Mus musculus: one gene and its partner. The protein of the gene in region 2 purifies or fractionates together with the protein of the main gene of each other region. This does not show direct contact. Links are inferred from orthologs where the notes say so. Each region holds a gene or a part of one and is shown on either strand. Other genes may lie near its edges. The genes, in order: Snrnp70 and Gemin2.

Evidence for each region.
Region 1: the proteins of Gemin2 (region 2) and Snrnp70 purify together in Homo sapiens (affinity purification with mass spectrometry; 5 studies listed by BioGRID and IntAct, counting the BioPlex papers as one, with this or other methods). This does not show direct contact. The link is inferred for Mus musculus from reciprocal best matches to the Homo sapiens genes GEMIN2 and SNRNP70.

Annotation. Positions count from the first base shown.
Region 1 is NC_000073.6:45,375,865-45,378,973, reverse strand, and holds the end of Snrnp70 (U1 small nuclear ribonucleoprotein 70 kDa), read left to right. Parts: exon of another isoform or gene 1-165; intron 166-1,530; coding exon 1,531-1,618; intron 1,619-1,695; coding exon 1,696-2,377; 3' UTR 2,378-2,520; downstream 2,521-3,109. UniProt on the Homo sapiens protein: Component of the spliceosomal U1 snRNP, which is essential for recognition of the pre-mRNA 5' splice-site and the subsequent assembly of the spliceosome. SNRNP70 binds to the loop I region of U1-snRNA.
Region 2 is NC_000078.6:59,016,252-59,020,071, reverse strand, and holds part of Gemin2 (gem-associated protein 2), read right to left. Parts: intron 3,207-3,820; coding exon 3,117-3,206; intron 2,905-3,116; coding exon 2,845-2,904; intron 2,061-2,844; coding exon 1,947-2,060; intron 1-1,946. UniProt on the Homo sapiens protein: The SMN complex catalyzes the assembly of small nuclear ribonucleoproteins (snRNPs), the building blocks of the spliceosome, and thereby plays an important role in the splicing of cellular pre-mRNAs.

The DNA of each region.
Region 1 (3,109 bases), on a different chromosome or scaffold from region 2:
TGTACAATCCAGGATGCGTATACCCTCTGAAAAGTTCTCAGAATTCCAAATGCCACACAATCACAGTAACTATCCGCAGCTGGCAAAACCATGCCTCTTATAGGCATGAAGCAAACCCGCTGATTCAAAGCAGTCCCATATGCCCACACCTGGGATGAAAACAAAAACATGTTCTTATAATATTTCTGTGGGTTTTTTTGGTTTTTTCGAGATAGGGTTTCTCTATGTAGCCTGGCTGTCCTGGAACTCACTCTGTAGACCAGGCTGGCCTCAGAAATCTGCCTGCCTCTGCCTCCCGAGTGCTGGGATTAAAGGCGTGCGCCACCACTGCGCAGCTGTTTCCTGTTTTTTTTGTTTGTTTGTTTTGTTTTGTTTTTTTTAAGCAACCCAAATTACAGAACTCTTACTATAGACATTTTCTTGTATTGATAATGGCCTAGCTCATTGTTAGACTGTGATCCAGCAGCTGGAAGTCTGGGTCCTGCTTTGCAGTAGTCCAACCTGTTATCTATACCTAGTTTAACAGCCTAGCATGTGGCTGACCTCTTCGCTTTGCCTGTGCTCCTGTGTGAAACACAGCCCCACCTCACTAAACCTTCAGGTGGATGGTGCAGGAAACCACCACAGGCAGATGGGATTCTGAGACATGACCCTCCTTGCCAAGTCACTGGGGCAAGTGGCTCATTAGTAGATCCCTGTCTGAAAGATAAGACTGTCACCTGCTCCCTTGTGCTATTGGTTGGGTGAAAATCACCTTTATAGACCACGTATTGAATCTGCAAGTTTGAAGTATTCGTGGCACATCAGAATCTGGGGAGGTGTGGTAGTGCTTTCTTTGAACAGTTGGGGAGGTACTGATGGCCTCTAACAGTTCGTTGGAGCGTGCTATAGTGTGATGAGCAGGGCAGGGTCTGAGTTGGTGCTTTGAGACTGACAGGGAAGTAGAAGGTACAGAGACAAGGAAGGTGAGCTCACTCCTCAGAAGGTAAATGTTACATGGCTAAGGTGGGGAGCACGAGGCAGCTGAGAAGGCTGGAAATGTAGTGTACCCTGGGAATCTAGGTGTGGCAGGTGTTCCAACTTCTGGGTTTGTTTTGTTTCGTCTCACCACGTAGTGGCTGACCTGAAGCTCACTGTGGGCCAGGCTGCCTCTGCTCCAAAGTATGAGATTAAAGGGGTACAATCCCAAACCTAGCTTCTTTCAGCTTTTCTATGAGTTCACACTTTGGACTTTATGCTCAAAGTACAAATTGGTAGTGGACTAGCCTAAATAAAACCTCAAGCCTCAGGTAAGATGGACAGCTTGGGAGTCAAGAAGGTTCTTGTTGGGGTGTCCTCAGCTCTAGCACTTTGTAAAAGTCTTGTGGATAACATGGCTATCCTACAACCAGTGGACATGGAAGTGATTGGCAGGAGATTATGCCCCATGGCAGTTAGTAGGGGTGCTTGTTTTTTTGTCAGCTGCATAGGCCCCTTTAAGATTTTCCCCTTTGTACTGTTTCCACTGACCTTGTGTTCCTTTGCCCGTAGGAGGTGGCCTTGGTGGTACCAGAAGAGGTGGGGCAGATGTGAATATCAGGCATTCGGGCCGAGATGACACTTCCCGATATGATGAGAGGTAAGATTGGGCATCTGGTTTCTTGGGATAGGGCAGTCACAAGGGGTGCCCTGCCACACAGTGCTAACCTCATATAGGCCGGGCCCCTCCCCGCTTCCACACAGAGACCGGGACCGGGACCGCGAGCGGGAGCGCAGAGAAAGAAGCCGAGAACGAGACAAGGAGAGAGAAAGGAGACGCTCCCGCTCTCGGGACCGGAGGAGGCGCTCCCGGAGTCGAGACAAGGATGAGCGGCGACGGTCCAGGGAGCGTAGCAAGGACAAGGACCGAGACCGAAAGCGACGAAGCAGTCGGAGCCGGGAGCGAGCACGCAGGGAACGGGAGCGAAAAGAGGAGCTTCGAGGTGGAGGAGGTGGTGGCGGTGGTGGCAGTGGTGGTGGTGGCGGCGGCGACATGGCTGAACCCTCTGAAGCTGGTGATGGAGCTCCTGATGATGGGCCTCCTGGAGAGCTTGGCCCTGAAGGCCCTGATGGCCCAGAGGAGAAGGGCCGGGATCGAGACCGGGAGAGGCGACGTAGTCACCGGAGTGAGAGGGAACGTCGTCGGGACCGAGACCGTGATCGGGATCGAGAGCACAAGCGTGGGGAGCGGGGCAGTGAGCGGGGCAGGGATGAGGCCCGGGGTGGGGGTGGCAGCGGTCAGGACAATGGGCTGGAAGGGCTAGGTAGTGATGGTCGAGACATGTACATGGAGGCAGAGGGTGGTGATGGGTACATGGCCCCAGAGAATGGATATCTGATGGAGGCAGCGCCCGAATGAAGAGGCCTGTAGTGGACATGCTCCTAATCTTGCTGTCTGCCTTCCTAGCCTTTTCCACCTTGGCTTGCCTCTGAGGGTAGATTTTTTTTTTTAATCCGGTCCCTTGGATTTAAAAATAAAATTAATTTTCTGTTGATAGTGGGCATGTGATGTCTTACTGCACTTGCTGTCTTTCCAAAAGGCCACTTCCTACTGCTCAACTCCCTTTGGTATACTGCACGTGTTATAACCTGAAGTAGAGGCTGTTCTCCCAGGCACTGTAGCTGCTTTACAAGTGAGAGGGAAGCCCTGGCTCTCATAACAGGCTGCATCTTTAAGTGAGAGAACAGCAGGCAAAGAGGCAGGATGCCAGCCATCAGCAGTTGGTACCCACACATTTCTGGATGGAAGGCAGCTGGGAGAGCTTTGAGTATGGTGGGCCCTGAGGAAGCTGGGGCCAGCCTGGCACAGTCCTGAAGAAAGGCTGAAGGTAGTCCCATTGAGGGCTGAATGATAGTACTCCAATCTGCTGCTTAAGGCTTATAAGTCTTTACATATAACCAAGGACAGATACCACCAGAGAGCTGAGAAGCATCTACATCATGAGAGCACAGATAGCTGGTCCTGAAAGGGAACTTCACTCATTCCTGTGTTTGCCACATTTGCAGGTAGGCTTATGGTTTTACTAAGAGCATCTTGCTGTAGAAATCTTGGGGCAATGAAAACTTGTGACAGGCATTAGAGACAGGAATT
Region 2 (3,820 bases):
TGGGATCTAATGCCCCTGTGTAGCCTCTGTAGGTACAAAGCATGTGTGCTTGCCTCCTCACTCGACTCTCTTATAAACTGTTATTCACTTGGCTTGCTATTGTAGAATATATAAAACTGCTTCAAATGAAAGAAAGCTAATGTTTTTAAGTAGCATTTTAAAACATTTCATACTTTAAAAATTTTATTTATTAAAATCATATTCTTAACCAGGCAATGGTGGTTGTAATCTTAGCACTCAGTACTTGTGAGACTGAGGCAGGAGGATCACTGAGTGATTTTTAAAAATTTCATGTATCTCTGTGACTGTGTGTGTATGTGTGTGTACATGGAAGGACTATCTTCAGGAGTTGACTTTCTCCATGGACTTTTTCTACCATGTGGGTTCTGGTGACTGAACTCAAGTTGTCAGGCTTGAAGGCACTGAGCCGTCTGCTGGCACTTACAACGCGTGTGATGGAGGTACCTTCAAACTTAGATGCAGGTCAATCGTGAAGAACAAGGAGTTAGGCACAACATGTACGGCTATAGTAGCTACGCACATGGTTTGGGTGTGGTATCATGAGGATTTGAAGTCAGGTCATTCTGGCTTACACAGTGACTTATAGGCCAGCCTGGCTAGGACTGTCTCAATGTCCTCCACAAAGTCACCAAAAACTAAAATATACTCTCAAGATTTCATGTGAAGGATATGTATTAATTACTCTAAAAATTTCCTAATTGGGCCAGGTATGACTCCCAGCACTCAGAAAACAGAAGCAGGAGGATCTCTGAGTTTGAGGCCAGCCTGGTCTACACAGGAGTTCCAGGCCAGCCTGGTCTACACAGGAGTTCCAGGCCAGCCAGGGTTACACAGTGAGTCCCTATCTGACAAGAAGACAAAAAACACAAAACAAAACAAAAACAAGGGTTTTCTAGGGCTGGCAACATGTTTCAGTGGGTTAGAGCGCTGACTGCTCTTCCGAAGGTCCTGAGTTCAAATCCCAGCAACCACATGGTGGCTCACAGCCACTCATGATGAGATCTGATGCCCTCTAGCTAAAGTGTACTTATAGTGATAAATAAATCTTTAAAAAAAAAGTTCTCTAATTATATGTTTTTCTTTGTTTCTGACTACTTAAAACTTAATATTTAATCCAGGCCCAATAATTTTGAAAACAAAGCAAAACACCAAAACCCTAAAGTGACTCTTGAGAAGTCCACACTGATGTTCTAGGGTGTGTATTCTGAGTGCCTCTTTCTCCACTAGTCTCTGTGTTTTGAATTCATATTAAAATGTTTTTATTAGTTCCTAATCCTGCTTCACAAAATACCCTGATCAGAACAAACAAAGTACCAAGCCCTGAATCCTAGGAAGAAAGGATAACATACACTCAGTACCCTAGCTATCCAGATGACTCTGGGGGGAAGAAGGAGTGGCAAGGCCATCCAGGCAAGGAGACCCTGTCCCAAAATAAAACAAACAAAAACTCCCTTTACTAAAAGAATATCTTTTAATTTATAAGATTATTATATATCTAACACTAAAGAGATAGGAGCCTGGTACATTATTTTACAAACTTGACTGACACTCTCTAAGTCAACCAGCCATGACCTAACTGAGAGCCTGGCAAGCATCTCCTACACAGAATTGGACAGTCCTGATCTTTGCCAGTCACACAACATCTCGGTGGTCAGACTTGTTCTTTTTTTTTTGAGACAGGATTTCTCTGTGTAGTCCAGGCTATCCTCAAACACACAGAGCTCTACCTGCCTCTGCCTCACAAGTGCTGGGACTCGGCTTTGTCTTTCTCAGCCTGTGAAAGAGCAAGTGACTCTCAGGTCATGAGGTACACACAAGCAGGCTGCGGTCTGAATCTGGCAGAGGCTGTGGACTGATCGTTCCGATCGCCTAACAGATGTCTGCCCTCTGTGTCACTTGGTGTGTTTACCTATGGCACCACCTACTTGTACATAATCGATCCCAGGGCTTTCCTCTGTAGACGGTCCAGTGGCCCCTTCAGCACATAACCTTTCACCCAGACAAAATTTTTTCCAGCCTTCTTCATCTTCAGATTTTGGCTGAAGGAAAAAGTAAAAAAAATGAAGCCAACGAAATCACTGAAGGATACTTCAAATGCAAGAAATAAACAACTAAAAATTTTGGCACATTTTCTTAAAAAAAAAAAAAAAAAGTGAAGGTTTCACACATCCTGACTGTTCCCAACACAAAGACGCGGTACTAGTTAAGGACATAACTGCGTAAGTATGCTGCCCTTTAAATCCCTATGCTGCAGCTCTCACTGCCAGAACTGTAGGCTGTGACTGCAGCTGGAGGCATGAGTGAAGTCTAATCCAATCACATGGCCTCTCTATTATTCACTTGTGTGTGCACATAAAGAACAACTATTACAAGGCAGTAATACCTAAGAACACTTTCCAACTTCTCAGCCTTATTTACTTATTTTACTACAACTGATATACCATTAATATTCTATTTTGACCCTGACAACAACATCTACCGTAAATCTCTCAAGATAAGGCTAATTAAAACAGTCATGGGCCAGGCATGAGAACACGCCGGCACTCCAGAGGCAGAAGCAGACAGATCCCCGTGTCTGAGTTAGCCTGGTCTACAGAATGAGTTCCATACCAGCTGGGGTGATATAGTGATACTCTCAAATAAAGAGAAGAAAAAAATATGAACTGGTCCAGACTATTACTATAGCAAATTGATAAACTTACATAATGGCATATGATGAAAAATAAAAATAATAGGAATAACCAATTAACTCTTTAAAGACTAGACTATGGATTATTTCACACAGGTATATACTAGACAATTTAAGCCAAGAAACTCATTTACCATTGCCACATTACTGTCCAACTGTTGTGATTTCCAGTGATTTCTATGCTTGTGTACACTCTAAAGGAAGAAAAATAAATGCTCTTCAAAGAATGAAAAACAAAAAAGTTTTTGTATAAAATTTTAAACATTCACAGAAAATACATACTAATATGTTTAAGGATTAGAACAATTTGGTAACTCACTCATAAATACTTACGTATTTATAATTTTTTAGTCTTAGAACAGAAATACACCCGAAGGAGGTTAATTTCATTAAAAGGGACACTTGCCTGTCGAACAGTTGAAAAATGTGCCACTTGTTGTTGTTGCCACTGAAGTGTTGGAGAGTAACCTTCAGGCGCAGGCTGGCATCCGGAAAGCTGAAAATCAGTCCACACATGTTAGAGTCAATGTTAGTGTTGTAACTAGAATCTTATGTCTAAGATTATATAAGAAAATAAAGGTACATTTTATCAGAGCAGAAAAGCAGGCAGCTCACTTTACAATCTATGTACCAGTTACTAAAACAGATTCTTTGGCATCTTACTAAAAAATACGGACTAAATGATTATGGGTGAAGTCTCTATGAAATCTAAATTCTATGAACTAAGAATATAACTGCCCCCCCCCCTCCCCCGGTCTCATTGGGTAGCCTTGGATGCCTGGAACTCCTTCAGATCACTAGTTGAGGCTGGCCTCAAACTCAAAGAGATCCACCTGTCTCTGTCTCCCAAATGCTGGGATTAAAGGTGTGTGCCACCACCAGCTGGCTGATGATTCTAGAACAGTGAAGAAAAACAAACAAACAAAAAAGAGATATACCCCAAATAAAGAATTTGGGAAGGTCAAAATATACCCAATAACTTAAAGACGTGAAAAGGTCTACTTGATTTCCTTTACTTTGTTGATGGGTGGTGTGATGGTTTGTATATTCTTGGACCAAGGAGTGGCACCATTTGGAGGTGTGGACTTTTTGGAATAGGTGTGACCTGGT